Linked DNA regions of Arabidopsis thaliana. The protein of the gene in region 1 interacts with the protein of each later gene in a pairwise test. Each region holds a gene or a part of one and is shown on either strand. Other genes may lie near its edges.

Region 1 (3,587 bases):
ATTTATATGAGAAGGATTGGGTAAATTTTCTCTATTATTGAATTATTTTAGTTGGTTATTTTTAATTTATTACGTATATATATATATGTTTACAATACTTCTAAAACGTTAACATGGCTCAATGGTTTAGAGCTTTAATAGCATTGAGAAGGTCACTAGTTCGATTCTTCCTTGTGTTTGTTTTTGTTTCTTTTTTCCAATTTCAAAATGACGTCGTTTTGCTTTTAACGGTAAATGCTAACAAAAAATTAATCCTGTTATTTTTTTGTTAACGGAAACTTAACGACATGCTTAAAATGGCAAAGTCAACAAAACTTGACTATTTTATCAAAAGTCAAGCAAAACTTTACAATTTTATTGGCAGTTTGGAAGTTCACGTTTTTTTCGTCCCAAATTTGAAAGTTCATGCTTTTTTTGACATTTTTCCATTTTATATTCTCACGAGTTTCATCAAAGAAAAGTCTAAGTTTTCTTTCAAGTAAGTGTGCGAACATTAATAACTACAACGACAACATTTTTTTGGGGGGTCAACTAAAATCAACAACGAAAATATTTTTTTTCAAGAAAATAAACAACGAAAAACATGTTCGCAAATCTCTTGATTTAGCGCATATAATTATATGTTCAACGCATATTAAATCTGGATTATCACATTTTATGTTACCACACTAAACTACAAGCTTAGGGAATCAATCACAAGAATACGTATAAAGAATCTCTCTCACTTGCACGTACCCACCAAACTGATCTAGTCATCTATATGTAGCAATCAATCTAAAATGAAAGAATCAAGAAAATACACAATCAAGAACAATCTAATCTAACAAATCTACAAGACTGACTATCTTATTGTCTCTTCTTTGTGCCCATTACCAAACCAAAAAAGAAACCACTATTCGTCTTTGTCTTCTTCTTCCTTCTTTTCTCATCATCCACTTTATAAGCTACGGATCGGCTTTTCGTCATCCACGAAATCACTTTCTCTCCTCTACCGCTGCCTCCGGACATTAACAAGTATCGTCGGCGATCAACAATAGGAGAAGGACAAGAAGAGACAGAAGAAGAACCGTCAGATGAAAGAGAGGAAGTAGTTGAGGAAGAAGTAGACAAGATTTGACGAGATCTTGGTCTACGTGAAGAAGCTGCTTTGATAAAAAGAGAGAGCCTCTCGTTAAGACAAAGAGAACAAACACCAGGTGATTGTCTATGCTTTGGATGCTTCTTGCAAAACACTGCGTTTTTGGTCTTATCTTCTGCCTTGTTCTTGTTACTTGACCCTCGTCTTATTCCGAGCAAGCTCGTGCTTAAGCTCGCCATTTCTTCATCTATTTGAGTGGTTAAGAAGAAACATCAAAAATGTTTATATAATTTTAATGGAGAGAATGATTTGGTCGTGGATGGTTCATTGGAGGTTTCTAGGGATTTTCCGGGAAAGTTTGAAGATGGGCCTTTTGTAAGATTTTTTTAGTTGACAGGTCGTGTGGGTCGGGGAAAAGAAGAATCAACGGTTAGGATGAAAGTAAGAGATTAAGTGACGGCTAAGATTGAGTGTAACAGGTCAGTTGAAATGACTAGAAAATTCCGAGTCTGGTAGGCGCAGAAAGTCCCAAACATTGTGTAATTCATATACAATATATAAACATTTACATATTAAAAAACATAAAACAAACAAAAATATATATAAGTTTAGTTCTTTTGGTTTGTACGTTATTAAATTTACACACAAAATACATTTAAACGCCATAATGTTTTAATCATAAGATGGTTTTTTCTACCATTTTGAAAAAATTAATTCCAAATCAACTACAATTGAATTGATCTTTCTAAAATTAACATATTTCTATGATACCATAATATTTGATATTTTTGCGTCTACCAAATAGGAAAAGGGTATTTTCATATTTTTACTGTTGGCTAAGTGTATTTTCATACCTGAATAATTTGGTAGGATAAACATGGGTTAAATTTTAGTTTTGTTTAATTTTTATTTCTATATTTTTGTTAAAAACAAATTGATATATTATAGTAGTAAGTGAAAAAAATTTAGCAACCACAAAATAAGATTGCATATAATTATGTTAGATCAAAAGTCAACATATTATAAATGAACCATATCTAAAATATATTAATTAAGGAACTTAGCTATTACTTTGAGTTAATTTAGGAAGTCATTTCTGAATTTTCAGTTTTTTAGTTGTTGAAATAGAAGTTTGTTTGAGCTAATTACATAATTTAGCATAATCGAATATATTATAAACATATATTTGGTATATAATAATACAAAATTCAGCCCGTACATAGAAACCGTATTTTTCATTTTAGAATTCTAATGAAAAAATTACTTACAAAATCAAAATTTTAAATATTTAGAGGTTGCAATCCTTATTTAAATCATCACATCTAATTTTAACCCACCGTTTATTATAAACATTATAACTTGTTTTATCATATAATATATTATATTTAACATGTTTAATTGTGAATTTCTGATTGATATGGCCAAGGGGAAATTGTATGATATATTTATCGTTAGAATTCATCAAAATATTCATTACTGGGCTACAAAATTACGAAAAATTGAATTTAGCTTCGCGAAGAGAAGTTGTAATAAGGCAGCACACTTGTTAGCTAAAAGGGGATGTCGATCTACTTGTTATTTTTCTGATTGTATGTACCTGCAATTATGGCCCAGTGAACAATTGTATCATGACGTTTTAAATTAATAAAATTATCTTTTCGACGAAAAAAATATGTCACCTGTTATAAATATTTTAAATATATCTATTTTAAAAAATCAAATTAGAGTACTAACAATTTTTCAAATTTTGATTTATTAAATAATTGTGATATTCTTTAAAAATATTAAATTACAATATTTATAAATGTTCAAAATTTTTTTTTTTTATTATGGTGGTATATAATATTATTTCAAAAAACAATTCTACGAAATCGAATATAAATTTTGGCCCGTCAGTCAGTTAAAACTTTTGTTGAATTATTTTTTTTAAGAATATATATTACCTAAGTCTGAAAATCTATTTATTTTTATATTTTATGGATGATATGATGATCTATTTTGTTCACAAAAATAGTATGATAAAAAGATGTGAGGTGAAGTATAATAATTAATAACAAATTAATATGGTAAGTTAGATATCAAATCTTATATGATCATTTTGATTGGTTATTCTTTTTTTAGAAATAATAACTTGACCGTTTTAGAATCCGTAGACCCGTGAGATTATTAAGTGGATCAAATTCTATGATTATATTTTTCTATGACATATTAATGTGGTTGTTACACTTTTGAATGTGACAACTTATGAGTGTAGTCTCCAATTAATAGTATAGGATTTACTACCCAAACCGCACAATTATTTGAAATTTATACATGAACTTGATAATTAGTGTAAAAATCAGATTCAAACTAACATGTGTTAGTCAACATCGTTACAAATCTGACTCAGCAAACATGTGGATTATGAAGTGTATATAAACGACGTTGTTTTGCATTTTTGGAGTTAAAATCTTAAAATAAAATTGCAAAACAAGGATTTCGAATCTTCGACCTTGTCCCTTTTAAAGGT
Region 2 (6,136 bases), on another chromosome or scaffold:
ACTTTCTCCTGATTAGAAATCTTTCAGCTCACATTCAATGCAATCCATTTCCTAACATCAACATGCTTAATTTCAATGCAAGCCATTTCCTAATCATTGAGGCTCTTGATGTTTGGTTGCAGTATGGCTGGTGTTACAACAGGAAACGTGGGATACCTTGCGAATGCTATACATGAAGTCACCAAGTCATCTTAAATCATTTACTTACATGTTTCAGCCAAACATACAAATTTTGTTTGAAGAGTCAATAAGACAGGAGGCTAGATTTGTACTTCTGCAATTGGTTTTGTGGGAACTGAAAGTTTACCCATAAACAGTAATTTATTAGCGCATTTTTTCGTTAGCTGGGCAATAAAAGCAAAGCCTAAACGATGGATTTTTGGATATACAAAATTCGGATTGTTTTCTTTCTTCTCAATTGCTCTTTTTGTGCTTGTTTCCTTTCAACGTTACAATGCCAATGCTGGCAAAATTTTATCCTCAAGCTCATTGATTTCAAATGTTTTTAGTTTTTACTTTTACCGTAGGCAACTTTAGATTATCATGATTTCATTTCATCATTTCGGTTATTTGACTTGCAGTTTGGAATCGATTTTGTTTCATTTCAAGGACAAAAACATATACAAATACTGATACAGGAGAAAAGTATCTCTCTACAAGTCAGTGAACAAAAAGAATATAATAGGACACAATCATCGCCTCCTGATTTCTCAAAAAGCTGAATTGGCCACGTCTAAGGAGGAGACATCATCTCTTCTCAGAAGCTGATACTTAGTTAATCAGAGAGAAGTAAATCTCCCTCTCCTTCATTCCATAAGGCGGCATTTTGCTCTGGAAAAGCATCTCGAGATCGCTTTTCTAGGGTCCAGCTTGAAATGGAAAGCCACCATTCATCTGTCGCCTCACATGCTCTGGTATTAGCCTGTTGATAAGCTCCGGTGAAGCCCCAGACAACTGTTTCAATAGTCAAAGAGAGAGCTAACAGATTGAGTAACTGTATGCACATTCAGTTATGTTTGGTTGAAGGAAAAGTGATTTTGGAATGGTTTAACATACCTCTTGTTTGAAGTTGAACAACGGTGGTAGAGGTCGGCCATTTGGAAGACGAGCATTTGGCTCACGGAGTTCATTGAAAAACGGATGCGCACATGCCTCGAGCTTCAGACGGCAAACAAACAAGTCAGTTGAAAAACAACATTTCACTCCTTCATTGAACAGTGTATGGTCCAAAGAAGCCAGAGAGAACCACTGTAACAATTAAGAGTACTTGGTTTAGAAATACCAACCGCAGTGCAACGTAGACTTGGTGAGTATTGAAGAAGCCGAGATGCAAGGTCAATGGCTTCCGGAGGCATCCGCTTGTGGAAAACCTGGAGGTCATAGAGCAGTTGTGCACCGTGTTAGCTTCTTTTCCATGAATGTTGTTTAGGTAGAGAAGTAAGCAATTGTATGATTAGAAAGAAGTTCGAAAGTGACATGCATATATATATATTACCTTATGCCAAGGGTGGGCTTTGATTTGTGGGAATCTGAAGTCTGTGTAGTTTGGGTTCATGCACCGGATTTCTTCGCGAGTTGGAGTACCAAGAACCTAAACCAACACAGCACATCATGAGCACAGACAGGAAATGACGCCAAAACAAAATATAATAAAAGAAGAGTTCACCTTTATGATCTCCACTAGCTGGTCCACAGAATTTTCTCCCGGGAATAACGGCTGTGAAGATAAATAATACCACATTGTTTACAGAAGATTTTGGAGAGATGCTTTAGTTCTCAAGATACTCAACAGGTTAGAAATTTACACTAACCTGCCCAAGAAGTAGCTCTGCCAGAACACAACCAGCAGACCATATATCAATGGATGATGTATACTCTGTGGCACCAAAGATGAGTTCTGGAGCTCGGTAATACCGAGAGCAGATATATGATATGTTTGCTTCACCTTTCACCTAATATAAAAAGCCAAATGTTGCAAATATCAGGCTAACAGAGAAATATCTGAAACTGCATCCATACTTATGTAAATTACTTGCATAATATTCACTTAATTGGAGTTTTTAACTACTGCATGCAAAGACACAAGCACAGTGGAAAAGACAAACAACAAATGGGGTAAATAAAAGTCTAAACCTCTTACCAGTACTTTTGCACTTCCAAAATCACAGAGCTTACACTGATGGGTGAGGGGATCAACCTACAGAACATACAGAGAATAAGATTACAATCTAGTCAAGGTTACCAAAGACAAAACCCACAATAGATCAACGTACCAAAAGATTTTGTGGTTTCACATCTCTGTGGCAGACACCAGGAGCAGTATGGATATAAGCCAAGCCTCTGAAGATCTGCACAACATATTTTATAAACAGTTTTAGGATAAACACAACAGAGTAAAGAGTATTTATTGGGGAAAGAGTAGATAACAATGCATACTTGGTATGTGTAAAGTTTGACATAGAAGATAGGCATCCGCTGGTTTGAACTAGTATAGTGCTTCAAAACCCGGTACAATGTCTCTGGTACATACTCCATAACGAGATTGAGGAAGAGCTCATCTCTAGTCGTTGTAGAGAAGAAACAATGCTTCAAGGAAACCACATTTGGATGGTCCATTAGTCGCATTAATTGCAACTCTCGGTTTTTATAACGGCGATCTTGCAAAACCTTCTTAATGGCTACTGATTCTCCAGTTTCCAAGCATTTTGCCTAGAATGGTAAGTTAACAATCTGATCAGAAAGGAAAGACAAAAAGCCATTTGCCTGTAGACAGTGACAAGCACAATGATACCTGGAATACAATTCCGAATGATCCTGTTCCAACAACACGTTCGGCCATGTAACTAATGGTCTGTAAAGGCCAGAGGGATGAAAACATTAGAGAGTAGAACTTAGAGTTGGAAAAAAGGAGCCACAAAGTCAAAAGATGTAAAAACCTATTTATTTATTTGTTGAATTTCTATAGATTAATCCAAACCTTAGGTAACCTTATACATGGTAGTGTGCTCGAGCAATAACTATGATTTAAATCATTACAAAGATTTAATAAACAACAGAATCCAACCTGTTTAGGTTCACCATTTTTGCCTCCAATTGTAGTAGAAATTATGTGACCGGTAACAGCATCATTTCCTTCTATAACAGCAGCAGACATTTCCTAAAATCAAACGTGAACATATTATTACAGGAGTTAAAACTATTCTTGTCTACAAAGAATGAAGGAAAGTAGTAACAATTAGTGTTTCCTCCGATGTATATTGATTGAATAGACAAATAATTCAAAATATTCGAATCGTTTTTCAATCAGTTCTATCAAGTGTATGAAATCTTCCAGAATATAAACTTTCCTTTAAAATAGCATTCAAATCTAAGAACAGTCAATGCCCAATTTACAGAGAATTCAATCATGTAAGATAACTAAATGTAAATCTAAATGATGTCGCAAGTTCCTGTTGACCAGAGGCTAACAAAATTCAGAAAACAAATGCATACTACTATACTAGTTGTTACAGGTAAAGGAAAGCTAAAAAATGATAACTGTAACTTCAAGAGTAGAGAAAGATTAAGATGTCAACCATTTTGTGGACATAAGAAACTTGTACAAAATCAAAAGATACAATCAGACACAACATGGAACAGACACTGTCAGGTGGAGAAACAAAGCAAAAGAACATAAAACAAAAGAAAAGAGTTCAGAATCAATACAGAATGGGCCAAGAATCATATAATCTAAACGAATACTCCAAAAACTGTCAGGAAAAAGAAGAAAAAAAACTCGAAGATACACAAGTACTTTGTGAAGTCAAAAGTGTTAAATTTAACACCCAAACTATGAGGTTACTTCTTTAGGGTTCAAAGGGTTATTACTAGAAAATTTCTGTTATTTACCCTAATTTCTTCTTTAGGGTTCGAAGGTTTACTGCTACTAATCAAAAACAGCTCAAGAGATCAATCTTCACTACAAAAAAGGTTGAAAATTTCAGCTGAAGAAAAGTAAAACTAGCTACTATGAAGTCAAAATGCACAATCTTCAATGAGCTCAAATCAAGAACGCTGACTAAAAAGGAACACAGATCGATTGACTAACACATCGAAACAAGCAAAATCCGAGCTAGATCTAGAAAACCCACAAAACGAAAATTGAAATACATTGTTCACGAAAGAATCAATCAGAGAGAGAGAGAGAGAGAGAGAGAGAGAGAGAGAGAGAGAGAGAGAGAGAGAGATACACACAAACGTTTCAAGTTATAAGAGAAGAAAAAACTAACCTTGTCGTTGTCTATATCGGGACGACGTTTCAAAGAATCTCCGCCGTGAAGATGCGGCGGCTGAGGAGCTAAAGACGGAGGCTGAGGAGGCCCCAATGGTATCGAAGTCATGTGCTTTTACAGCTCTAACTTCTCTCTCTCACTGAAAGAGTAAAGACTATTTTGTTCTCTCTCTATTACCTGGTGTTCTGTCTAAACTTGAGAAAATTTTTAAAGATAAAGAGGAAACCCACGCGTAAGTTTAGCGCGTGATTCTTACGCTCCAATGAAACACTAATCTGTTTATTAAGTAGTCATTATTTAATAAGCACAGTGATTGGTGAAGTGAAAAGTCTGATAACTCCGTAATAATACCATAATGCAATTTATTGTGGAGATTACTACATTCACACAATCAGATAATTTGGGTAAACTAACAACAACTACTCTCTTTCAGATTAATAGTTGTTTTGGAGTTTTACCACAATTTTAAAAACTCTTTAATCTATCTACTAATATAAATTGTTTACAGTATTCATTCTAGTTTTTTTAACAGTTTTTATTCGCTATCGGTAAACTCTTTGAATGGAAAAATATTGGCTTACGTTACGTATGTGTTTTCTGAATCTTGAATCTTCTAAGTTTTTGTCATTTTAGAAAAAAAATTGGTGTTCTCTGGAGCCAGATGGCTACATATTTGACTTTTAATATTTGGTCCAATTTAAAGGATGGATAAAAGTCTTAGAATAAGGGGAGTGGACTTAGCACATGGACGAATGACGATCATAATCAATTTCTTGGAACATTTTGTTTAATAATAACTCGCTATTTGGATTCCAACGACCAACACTATGGACAAATAACATCAAAACAATGTTAAAATATATACATACAAAAACTATGATTGAGATATATTTTTCTCTTGTATACATCATGACATGATATATTTACGTCGAAATTTTCTTTTAACATGATATGGTGATAAAATTATTCATTAAGATGATTAGTTTGTGCAGAAAAAATACAAACGATGGAACTATTAAAGTAGAATGAAACTGATAGTAGGATGATGCAAGAATCGGATCCGATCATACTAATATCAAATAGATATTTGATTTTACTTTAGCATAACGATAATAAGATTAGGCACATGTTGTTCTTTAGGTAATGCCTAGATGTTCTAAGCAAATTGGTCATAAATTCAAATACGTACGGAAACAGTACCCAAGTGATATATCTACTTATCTAGCAACCCCCTCCTCCTCCACCACCATCACCACTGCAACCGCCAAAAACGCCACCTTTACAGCAGCAACAGCAACTTGAATCCTTCTTCTTTTCCTTCTTTTTGGAGCAAGCAAATACGGCCATGGTTACAAGTAACAACGACAGAAGAAACATGAAAATCAAGAACAAAACACCCCCAAAAGCAGCAGCTTCTTTCATGTCAAACTAACTGATAAAGAAACCTCTCACTCTCTCTCTATATTGTTTTTTAAATTTCTCTTCACTCATATATTTGCATGTGATCTTCCATGCCACTATATATATAAAGAGAATAAGAGATGAAATGTGAACATTTTCACACCAATATTGTTTCAATAATTCCTCTAGTGACTAATTTAGTCAAGGTATTCAATTCAATTCAATTCTGCAGCTTTCAAGTTTCCTTTCTAGTGAGCTCTATATTTTGAAACCATAATTACAAAAGAACGAAAAAAAAAAGTCTATTAGTAGAGAATAAAGAAGCAGTGTCACATGGAATTATTGCCATGAAATCTCCGTTAACATGAGCTGTACATCACTTCAACAAGAAACCTCTCCTTAAGTGCCAGACAATATTTAAGACATTTATCTCCATTGCTTTCTCTTTATCATGGAATCTTTTT
Region 3 (6,035 bases), on another chromosome or scaffold:
AAGTGAATTTAAATAGCTGTACGGTGGTGGGCTTTATTTTAAAGCCCTGGCCCGTTATGGCTAATGATTCCTAGATCTTATAACATTAATTGGGCCTACAACAATATCATGTGCCATTATTTATCCGTTCATTTTGCAAAGACTTTAGATTGATACTGCACTAATAAGCCCATAAGGCAAGTGAAAAATGTCATTTAATCCCCCAACTTTCAAAAAATGGTCATTTTATATATCAACTTCGTATGTGGCCGTTTAAAACATGAACTAAAGGTTGACTAATTTTTTAAACATGATCTTTCGTTGACCAGACTAAAATAGACATGCCGTTATCAGTCATTAACGGAACTTCTAATGTCCGTTATCATCCGTTAATTTTATTAGTCAAGTTTCAAATTGTGGCCATTTTAAACATCAACTTCTTATTTGGCCATTTAAAACATGAAGTAAACGTTGACTACCATTTAAGACATGAAAAATTCGTTGACCAGGCCAAAATAGACATGTCTTTATCAGTAGAACCTAGAAACTCGTTAATGACTGCTAATCTATCCAAAACAACGTCGTTTGAGAATAATCGAAAGAACATAAAGATTTTTTCCATATGAAATTTCCATATCAAAAAGTTTTAAGCAGAACCCAAGAACATAGTTTGATATAGAGATAACCGCAGTGCCAGTAATTGGAAGCAAATAAAGGTGTTTTCGTTTATATATTTGTTTTAAATTTTAAAAGGAATCATGGAAGCAAATTGAAGACTCATTATAAGATTGTTCGTCTTGTTTGAGCGGTTGTAGAAATAGATTTGGGGAACTGGAGTTTCATTTAGAAAACAATCCTGATTTTCTTTGGATTATTCTCAAAACAAAGTCATTTTAGGGATACTAATAGAGTCGTTAACAAGTGATAATGAATGTTATAAGTTCTTTTAATGAATGATGACAACATGTTTATTTTGGCTTGGTCAACGAATTTCTCATGTTTTAAATGGTAGTTAACTCTTAGTTCATGTTTAAAATGGCCACATATAAAGTCGATGTTTAAAATGACCACAATTTAAAACTTGACTAATAAAGTCGTTAACGGATGATAACAGAAGTTAGAAGTTCCGTTAATGACTGATAACGGCATGTCTATTTTGGCCTGGTTAACGAATAATCATGTTTTAAAAGTTAGTTAACGTTTAGTTCATGTTTTAAACGGCAGCATACGAAGTTGACGTATAAAATGACCATTTTTTGAAAGTTGGGGGATTAATTGACATCTTTTCCCATAAGACAATGGTTCAATCAGTAATAACCACATCCTCATTAACATTCCTCAGATAGTAAACTAACCAATATATGTTTTATTTTACTTCGTTTCTCAATCTAATAGATTACTTGAATTGTTTATAGATTACCTCATAGGATGATGATAATTAATAGTTTAAAATTTTGAACAGAGACATTATTAAAAATGTCTAAAAACAGTAAGAAATTACTAAAATTATCTGTTGCAGGAGCAAAAAGAGGGAAGTGGTCAAAGATGGTCAAATGAAAATAATACAGTGCCCGCATATTCCGCGTGGGCTTAGATGCAATCATTCAAAACCCCCAAATCCTTTTGCCTAATCCCGGGATACGTAAATAGACAAACAATACAGGGGTACTTTAGTAATCACAGCTTGTCGAAATCGGGCGGATTCATCCTAACCCGTCGGATGAGCTGCTGCGATAAATCAACGGTGAGGAGTCAATGTTTGACCAAAAAAAGAGTAGAGAGAGATAGAGAAAGAGAACGAGGCTGGCATGATTGGCTTTGCCCACGAGAGAGAGAGAAAGATTCCACCTGGGTTGGGTCGTGAAGAAAGAGAAGAAGAAACCGAAGAAGCTCGAAGAAGAACGAAGGAGATTCTTCCTTTCCCCAGATTTTTCGTTTGAAGAAGAATCGAAAAACTTAGATTTTTGGTTTTGCTTTCGGAGTTATTCGAATTTGAAATATCTGAATCTGTTGATTCATTTATTCTCCGCATGAAGCTGTGTTGGTGAAGTTTTTCGGAGATTTAGGGTTTCTGAGTTGTTCCTCGTTTGGTTGGTGAATAAAGCGAAGATGAACGTGATGCGTCGTCTCAAGAGCATTGCTTCGGGTCGGACCTCCATTTCTTCGGATCCTGTAAGTATCCATTTTCAATGTCTCTCGTTTCAAGATCAGATTGATTTTATATTTCTGATTGTTGAAATTTTTCTCTCATTCTCATCCAGAAATTACGGATTGATGTCGTTTATAGTATGTTACAAGTCAAATTTAAGCTTTTGAGATCTTTAGTTTTAGATATTCTAGTAAATGCTTATGTTTTTGTATGAATTTGATTATCTCTGCTGTTTCATTGATTTTGGATGAGTATGTTGATGTTGACCTGACTAATTTCGTGTTTTTGGTGTTTGTTTTAGGGTGGGGACTATGCGTTGAAGAGAGCTAAGCTGGATCAAGAGAACGACAACTTGTGTGTTGATCCAATGCAGGTTGACCAAAATAGTTCTTGTTTTGAGATGAAAGCTGACGTTTTGTCACAAGAAAGTGTTGCTGGAACGTCAAATGTGCCTGCTGTATCGGAAAAACCCGTGGATGATCAGCTTCCCGATGTTATGATCGAAATGAAGATTAGAGACGAGCGAAATGCCAACCGCGAGGATAAGGTGAGTTGCTTAATCAATGTATATATCGTCGTCGTGATCTCCATTAGCCACTGCTCACATCTTCATTTGGCTTGTGAAGGATATGGAAACAACTGTTGTAAACGGCAGTGGGACCGAAACGGGACAAGTTATTACGACGACAGTTGGGGGTAGAGATGGAAAGCCAAAGCAGGTCATTCAACTAACTTTTTTTCTGATTGCCGTTGTGTTTGAGAAAAGCTATTAATCATGATAGTCATTTCTTTTATGAAAAGATTGTTTCTCTTTTCACTTCTGTTGGGTGTATCTTTAATTTACTCTTTCTTTCTTGTTTCAGACTATCTCATACATGGCCCAGCGAGTGGTTGGAACCGGCTCATTCGGAGTAGTGTTCCAGGTAGGTGGAAATTCTTATAGCAGGAACATAACTAATCCTTAACTATTTGTGTTCCCAGAATTTGACTTTCTGTCTGATTTTTGGATAGGCCAAGTGCCTGGAAACGGGTGAACAAGTTGCAATTAAGAAGGTTCTGCAGGATAAAAGATACAAGAACAGAGAACTTCAGATCATGCGTTTGCAAGACCATCCCAACGTTGTGCGGCTGAGGCATTCTTTCTTTTCAACAACTGACAAGGATGAGCTGTATCTCAACCTTGTCCTTGAGTATGTTCCCGAAACTGTATACAGAGCATCGAAGCACTATACCAAAATGAATCAGCATATGCCAATTATCTTTGTTCAGCTCTATACTTATCAGGTGAGTTCTATTAGCTCTCCGGTTACTCGTTTCTAGTAATCTGTGTAGCATAAAGCTACAAATACATAGGAAATTTATAATTTCACTTATGCTGATTTTGTCATTTCTGTTGCTTTGTTGGATATCAGATTTGCCGTGCGCTGAACTACTTACATCGCGTGGTTGGGGTGTGTCACCGTGACATTAAGCCACAAAATCTACTGGTATAGTGTGAATAATTTCTGCTTAAAGGTTGGTAAGACGTATGAAAGGATAATTCATTGATTCTCTTATGATGTGGCTTTCATAGGTTAATCCCCAAACTCATCAATTAAAAATATGCGATTTTGGAAGCGCAAAGATGTTGGTATGTTCATTTTTTTTTGATGAGTTCTTGGAGATGAGTTATCATTTGAATAATGATGGCTAACACCCTTTGCGTCTCAGGTACCCGGTGAACCTAACATATCCTATATATGCTCCCGGTACTACAGGGCCCCAGAACTTATATTTGGGGCGACAGAGTATACCAATGCCATTGACATGTGGTCCGGCGGTTGTGTCATGGCAGAGCTTTTACTTGGTCAAGTAAGTATATTATACATTGTAGAGTTTCGGTTATGATGAACCATTTTATTTTGATTGATCAGTTTTCATTATTACTTCGAAATAACATTTAATCTGATAACAACTGTTGATTTTCTACCCGTAGCCACTGTTTCCCGGGGAAAGTGGCATTGATCAGCTGGTGGAGATAATCAAGGTACTTAACCTGATCCCTCGTGTTCCTTCATCTCTCTTCTATATTTAATTTACTAGTTTACTCATCTGTACATCTACCAGATTCTTGGGACGCCTACAAGAGAAGAAATACGGTGTATGAATCCGAATTACACAGAGTTCAAGTTTCCTCAAATCAAAGCTCACCCGTGGCACAAGGTTTGTTAAATAATCGCAGGTGCCTCTTTGGTGCGTGTGCTTGTTCAAATGAAATTTAATGTAGCATATAACTCTTCAGATTTTCCACAAGCGAATGCCACCTGAAGCAGTAGACCTCGTCTCAAGACTCCTTCAGTACTCACCAAACCTTCGTTGCACTGCAGTAAGACTAAATCCTGCTGGACACCACAAAACTATATAATCTCCTTGGCTGATTTGGAATTTTCTAACTCAAATTCTACAAAACACTTTTTTTCCATTTGTTAAGTTGGAAGCTTGTGCACACCCCTTCTTTGATGACTTACGGGATCCAAATGTTTCACTGCCAAATGGAAGAGCACTGCCTCCATTGTTTAACTTCACTGCCCAAGGTCAGTACATATATTATCTTTTACCTTAGCTTCATCCTTACAAAAACTGTGAAGTTATCATTAGCCGACTTTGTTTAGATTTCACAATCATATGTGAAGAGTAGAAATTGCAGCAGAATACAAGAAATGTTTTGACGGATTGGGTCTACATTTGGTTCTGTCACATTGATTTGTTGCCATTGTATGTGACTATTCAGAACTTGCGGGTGCATCAACAGAGCTGCGACAGCGTCTAATTCCAGCACATTGCCAGGGAACGGGAAGTAGCTCTTAGGATCATTTATAGCGTGTCCAAATCCAGCTTTCTTTCTCTCCCTCTATTTACTGCAGTGTGTACATCAATTTTGAACCACTTCTGCTTCCAAGCTTTTGTCGCCGGAGGAGAGATTGGAAATCTGTACGCCGGGACCTGATGAGGTGTGAAATAACTGGGGTCATGAAGCTTCTTCTTCTTCTTCTGACTGGCTTTTCTCTCAATTTGCTATCCTTGTTATTTTCACCTTCACTTTCATTTTTTTGTTTTTTTTTCCACAAATCTGACCCCCCTTATATGTTTGGTGTATCATTTTTATGTGTTTGTAATCCATCAAGATCATTTTCCCTTGCCCTAATATTGCAAGCTAAGATTCCGTTTCATGTTCCTCTCTAAGATGGTTTTTGGGTGAACAAATAAACTCTTAACGACATTTTTCTATTGTATCTCAGGACTGGCACAGATTCCAGGTAAGCTATTTAACTGAAATGCACATGTTGTTTAATTAAAGTTGAAAAGCGAGGAAGATGAATGAAGAGTTAACTAACTTCACAATCGGACGAGTAATTAAACTATACTGTAGGAGTCGAAAGTCCTGTAACTTTGACACGAATTTGTGTTTGGTTAAAATTTTGAATAATTTACTCAACTATTGGAATTTAACCACAAAAACCCCTTTCACTGTCGAATATCTCTTTAGTCAAAAGACAAGAGTTCATACATGTTTAGTCTGTGTGACCTATAGATCAAAAGAAACAAAACCCTCTTTTGGTTTCTGCAATAATGGGTTTTTTAGTACAATAAAGTTTCAGGAAATGGATTTCAAAGCTAATAAAGGAAATGACTCCTTCAATTCAATGCCCATAAAAAGAGGCACAAGAAGGGCAAAACACCTCATACAACCAGAAGAAGAGGGTCTATAGTTTTGCATTGCTCTTGAGTGTTTTCCCATCATTGTGCTCAAAAGATTCATACCCCTTTTACTTGGTAAGATGTTCTTTCATCTTTCCCAACAAGAAAAATCTTAAATGCTATATATCTTACTTCACTCGGGGAACTCCATTCATCTTTGCTTCAAGGT
Region 4 (5,421 bases), about 13 Mb from region 1:
CTTTAATATTTTTTGTCAATTTGTTCACAATTACAGTCTATATATTCCTCCATTTATTGATTCTGTAATTTTGCCCAAAAAATGGGGACACGACAAAACTCGATAGCGACGAGTAAAAAAGAGTGAAAGGATAGAAGGAAGGTATCGTAAGAGTAAAAGGCCCCCACCATTTTGTTTATCGACATTTCCATCAAAATCAAAACTAATTACATAAAATCGATTATCGGTGAGGTATATTTTCCAAAACTCTAAGCGAACTGAATAAAAACCTCCGAATGCTTAACTTAAATAGTACACTAACACTTAAATAAGATCATGTTATTAACAAAAGTCAAAAACCAAACACATGTTTAATGTTGAGTGTTGTTGGTCGTAGAAGCTACCACATCGATACGAGGCAACTCTCGAAACCGAAAAACAAAACCAAACATATTTCATCTATGTTGGTGTATTTTCCAAAACTCTAAGCAGTAAACTAACTTTAGAAAAAAAACGAATGTTTAAGCTTAAATCATACACTTACACCAAAATAAAATCATGTTATTAAGAGAAACATACACATAACACTTGTGAGTGTGTGTGGTCTAAGTCTCTTAGAAGACTCTACAACGATTCATAGGTAAGTCTCTAAGCGCACATGGAATCTATAAACACAAGGAAACACAATTTCATAATTCGCTAAAAGACTTCATTGGTCATCATCACTGATCATGCTTATTCACAAGGATAGATATTTGTGAATTTTCCACCCAGAAAGTTACATCAGAATACAGTAAATAAAACATGAGATTGCAAGCCTGCTTCTCTAGCATATGAAAGAATTTCGAGTCAAATTCCCAAATTCTCCAATGGTGATAGCAGAAAGGCCAAAAGCCTTTTTTTGTTTTGTTTTAAACTTGTCGAAACTACATTTGTACCTAACCATACCATAAAGCTTACCTGAAACCCAAAATCAGACAGGGTTTTCTTTTGAATTCGTGTGATTCTCTCTCATCTAGGAGGAGGACCTGTGTTCTGGTTAGCTTCTCTATCTCTACGTCTCCTACCTGAACGTCCCAGCAGAACGCGTCCTTGTCGCCTCATTCGACTTGCCAAAGAGTTACTGTTACTATGCCTCTCCTCCTCCTCCTCTTCCTCTTCTTCTTCAGAGAAATTCAGCTCACTTGTTCCTCGGTTGATTGTTGTCGAGTCATTCGAATCTGAATCAGAGCGTCTGATCTGATTACCTGATGCCCCAAAAGCATGTAACAGAAGGAAAACATTCACAAGATTCCTACCAAATGCAGCATCGATCCCATCATCATCACCACCCTCGTCTGAATCTGAACCGTTGGCATTGTTCCTTTCAATTACGTAATCACCATACACCACTGTACCAGGCATTGTCGACCTAATCGTGCTCATAACATCGTCCCGGTCATGCTCGATCTCAAGCCTTCTCCAATTCTGCTCCACATCAGGATCCACTTCACGCGGCTTCGCACTAGGGTGGTCCACTTTCATGTGTTTCCTCAGCTCTTTGAAGGTTCCAGCATAAACACAGTTCTCCTGCATACAGATCCTCTTCTTAAGATTCAAAAAGTCACGAGCAGGCTGTACGATTGTCCAACCTTTCACCTGTCCTCTACAAAGTGGGCATGTGAGATTTCCAAGCTCAGACTTATTGATCTGTTGATGGCCCGATGTCTTCAGCTTAGCTGACGCTTTCTTGTACTGATCTAAGCAATTAGAATACCGGAAACTGGTTCCACACATGTAAGGACGACATCCCTTGTCATGAGATGAGCAGAGAAGAAGGACAGCGTTGTGTGGACACTCCATGCAAACCGAACATATAACATTCTCCCAATCCCTCTTCTCTAGACACTTTGAACAATCTTCCGCAAACATGTTTCTCGCCACAAGTCTTTTAGAAGATGGAAATTTGTATGGTTTTGCTCTTGCCCTGAAGCGTCGTGAAGGAACCCTACGTCCTGCCTTCCTAGCTTTGGCCATAATCTCAAAATCACACCTGTACAAATCCTCATCAAATTAGCAAAAGAACTCCACATAAAAGTTTGTAACAATACAAGTAGATATCTCTTCATGGAAACTACATATATTTTTCCAGTTCACCATTCAGCATACAACATGATTAGTAGTAGCATCCCACACTCTGATTTGGGAACTATTTCATGATAATGCTTTACATATGCATCTATAAAAGATATTTCACAACCTCATAGCAAACAAAGAGGGAGGTTCGAATAAACATGTTGAATTCATACATCCCTGGAATTGCATGATCAACAAACAATGCTAATCTATGAAACTTAAATCAAATCAAGGAACTCATACCGAAACGAAAAGAGATCAAACAAACGAAGTAATGTACCTCACTAGCTTGGAAGCCTAGAAAAGTGATTCAAACTCACAAGATAACTAACACAATGACAAAACCAAATCGACAAGTTATGGAAAGCAAACAGATGGAGAATCAATGTATAGAGATACCAAGAATAAAAACTGGTGAGACAAAGTCTCGCATCAAATCAAATACAGTTAATAAGATTACATAAAAGAAAATAAAAAAATAACAAAAGATGTGCAGACATGTTACAAGACAACCAAAAGGAACATGCTTCACAGAACAACTCACGCGACATGACAGTGAATCAATTATTAAACAAACAAAGGAGAAACCTTAGAATCTAATCTAATCCACATGGAACAAAGACCTTTGACACATCTCAGATCCATAGAAATTTATATAAAAATGTTAGCATAAATGTATAAGAAAGAACGAAATGCTCTCGATAACCCTAGAATTCAAAAACATAAGAATACACAGATGGATTCTGACAAGTTCAATTATACAATTCAACAAATTTTCAATGACTCATGAACCTAACCAGAAATCGGAAAAGTCATAGCTACACAAAATTCAGTTTTTCCAGCGGCGCACAAGTTCGAATTACATCAATATCTCGATAATCTAACACGGACCCACTAAAATCCGTAAGAAAAAAACACTAACCCAGATCGCAAATTAGACGAATAAGAGTAGAAACGAAGACAGAGAAGACGAACACGCAATAAAGACTTCACCTTTAGGGATTGAAATGAAAAAGATTAGGGTTTCAAGACACAGCGTAAGAAGACGAATAGGCTTGAATCGAGGGAGGGAGCGAGACCGAGAGAGGTAAGGTATTCAAAGGAAGAGAGGGAAGGAGGAAGACGAGTGGGACTGCGAGATTCGCGTGGAAGCGTCTCCACTGCTCCACCAAGCTCTGGTATCGGAGTTTCTCTTTCCTTCACGTCAAGTAAAACGTCCACGCGTCCTTACAATACGTAAGACTGACGCGCGTGCTTATTGTTTTAAAGGCCCTCTAAAAGTCCCTAATGGGCCTGGCCACGAATTAGACATATACTTATCCATAGTTAAAATTTGATATTGGACAGATCAATATATGGAGGATTTCAATTAAAGGTTGACTTAGTGACACAAAGAGATACAAAGAGACAATGGGAAATGCATTTGACCTTTTCTTAATTGTAATTATAAAATTTGAACGAGAGATATGGCTGCGGCGCCGCTTGCTCTCTTGTCCCACGTCTCCTCTGTCAAATGTTTTAGTTTTCCACTATATTACTATATGCTATATTTTTCTATATCTAAAATCAGCAAAAAGTTCTTTTTTGGTAAGATAAGTAAAACAAAACACATGCATATTCTTTTGACACATGCTTTCCCGTGTAAAGACGGATCATCATATTGTTGTGTTGAAATGTTAATCCAAAGTCCATAAGCTTGATTTGTTGTTGAAATGTTAATCTTAAGTCTATAAACTTTTTGGTACTCTAATAATATAGTAACTCCTCATATTGATAGTCATTCGATGATACTGCAACATTGTGTGTTTTGACTATAGATTTTATACAATTGTGAAACATTCATTATCCAATTTGATTTCTACGGATTAACCTCTTTTTTTTGTATCCGTAATCAACTCTGAATAAAATGGATACTTATAAAAAAAAAGTACTGTACGAAAAGTATATGTGGATAATCTTACATGATTTGCAAGTAACCTTATATTGTATGCTAATTCGATTTAAGATAACGATTTTATATAGGATTAGATCTACTAATGTAAATACTCTTAATAGATAGACAATTTCAAACGGTTGTCTCGGTAATAATATTAGTACAGAGCTGATAATTTTGTTGATAAAGTTTTTGGCAAGAAAGAAATTAAGTTAATAAAAGGACAGTTAGTATGAAAATAATAAAAATTAAAAGTCTTCTAGTTGACTATTTTTAGATCCGATCCCGAGGCAAGTATCTTGTTCTCGGTATTTTTGGTACGAATTATTAATTGCTAATTTGAATTTCACGTTAGTGATTATAATAAAAATAAATAAGATATCACATATAGACATCTTCTTAAAAGCACACTAACTAAAAGAAAAAAGAAAAAAAGAGACATGTCAAGTTTCTTTTATTTTTGTGTACATGTCAAGTTTGTAAACCATAGTTTATTGCTTAAATAAATCACATAACGCTTAAAAGAATCCAAAATCCGGACTTCACATATGTCACACATATTCTATCAACATAACCTGTATGTACATCGAAATCATAGAAAGAATATTTTAGGTTAGCTAGTAGCCTAGTACTAATGGGATAAATGAAATTAGTTATCCTTCTCTTAAAGATGAATCCTTGAGATCAAGAAATTTTGTGAGATTGTTCAACCAAACTAACAATAAAACTTATATTATTTGATACAATCTAAATATAGAATCAGTTAATTCTTTCTTTTTTCTTTCTCATATATATTTATGATCTCATAACACCAATTTGACTTTAAGAAGATATCTATTGAAATTTTCAAAACAACTTTAATAGGAAAATTCAAAATATATAGACAGCGCCATATTCTAGAATATTCTTACTCATTATGAATTTTTGAATGTTTTGATTTATAGACCTATCTATGATGTTGAATTGAGTAAATAAAAAGTTTAATGGTGCGTTTGATCTCACCCATCTTTTTCTTTATTCAGTATTCAATCTTTATAACTCTACCTTATTCGAAGAGATGAATTCATCTAGCTATAAACACATCAGTGACAAGTTTAAAAAAAATATCTACACGTTCGATGGTCTTCTGTATTTCACATGGTACCATCCATGTGAATGTGATGGGAAATTTCGCAGACCCTAATGCCGGCCATAAACTGGATTTACAAAACTAAACAATGTAATACAATTTTCAAAGAAACCGGATCTAATTATCTTATTGTCACTTAATAAACAAACTATATAAGAGAAGGGGAGGAATATATGTATACACTTTTTTATGACTACTAGGATGGTAACCAAAGTCATGATTCCATAGTAACTCCGGTTTAATTGCTTCAAAGGCCAAAACTAAG

The links.
Region 2: the proteins of AT1G35210 (region 1) and SKdZeta interact in a two-hybrid assay, tested with the Arabidopsis thaliana proteins (one large-scale study listed by BioGRID).
Region 3: the proteins of AT1G35210 (region 1) and SK32 interact in a two-hybrid assay, tested with the Arabidopsis thaliana proteins (one large-scale study listed by BioGRID).
Region 4: the proteins of AT1G35210 (region 1) and AT1G68140 interact in a two-hybrid assay, tested with the Arabidopsis thaliana proteins (one large-scale study listed by BioGRID).

Annotation. Positions count from the first base shown.
Region 1 is NC_003070.9:12,896,068-12,899,654, forward strand, and holds AT1G35210 (uncharacterized protein), read right to left. Parts: upstream 1,609-3,587; 5' UTR 1,318-1,608; coding exon 847-1,317; 3' UTR 515-846; downstream 1-514.
Region 2 is NC_003071.7:13,181,492-13,187,627, forward strand, and holds SKdZeta (SHAGGY-related protein kinase dZeta), read right to left. Parts: upstream 4,483-6,136; 5' UTR 4,380-4,482; coding exon 4,269-4,379; intron 3,158-4,268; coding exon 3,065-3,157; intron 2,852-3,064; coding exon 2,792-2,851; intron 2,710-2,791; coding exon 2,437-2,709; intron 2,349-2,436; coding exon 2,274-2,348; intron 2,198-2,273; coding exon 2,141-2,197; intron 1,953-2,140; coding exon 1,812-1,952; intron 1,718-1,811; coding exon 1,667-1,717; intron 1,592-1,666; coding exon 1,496-1,591; intron 1,371-1,495; coding exon 1,287-1,370; intron 1,159-1,286; coding exon 1,057-1,158; intron 955-1,056; coding exon 859-954; 3' UTR 534-858; downstream 1-533. Other genes in the region: ASP1 (aspartate aminotransferase 1), read left to right, coding at 123-195; AT2G30985 (uncharacterized protein), read left to right, coding at 5,415-5,573. UniProt on the Arabidopsis thaliana protein: May mediate extracellular signals to regulate transcription in differentiating cells.
Region 3 is NC_003075.7:293,056-299,090, reverse strand, and holds SK32 (shaggy-like protein kinase 32), read left to right. Parts: upstream 1-1,611; 5' UTR 1,612-2,088; coding exon 2,089-2,151; intron 2,152-2,429; coding exon 2,430-2,675; intron 2,676-2,754; coding exon 2,755-2,847; intron 2,848-2,991; coding exon 2,992-3,051; intron 3,052-3,139; coding exon 3,140-3,412; intron 3,413-3,540; coding exon 3,541-3,615; intron 3,616-3,701; coding exon 3,702-3,758; intron 3,759-3,838; coding exon 3,839-3,979; intron 3,980-4,103; coding exon 4,104-4,154; intron 4,155-4,234; coding exon 4,235-4,330; intron 4,331-4,409; coding exon 4,410-4,493; intron 4,494-4,598; coding exon 4,599-4,701; intron 4,702-4,898; coding exon 4,899-4,975; 3' UTR 4,976-5,503; downstream 5,504-6,035. Other genes in the region: BSK3 (BR-signaling kinase 3), read right to left, coding at 5,995-6,035.
Region 4 is NC_003070.9:25,538,420-25,543,840, forward strand, and holds AT1G68140 (zinc finger/BTB domain protein, putative (DUF1644)), read right to left. Parts: upstream 3,405-5,421; 5' UTR 3,088-3,404; exon of another isoform or gene 2,375-3,087; intron 2,012-2,374; 5' UTR 1,996-2,011; coding exon 991-1,995; 3' UTR 505-990; downstream 1-504.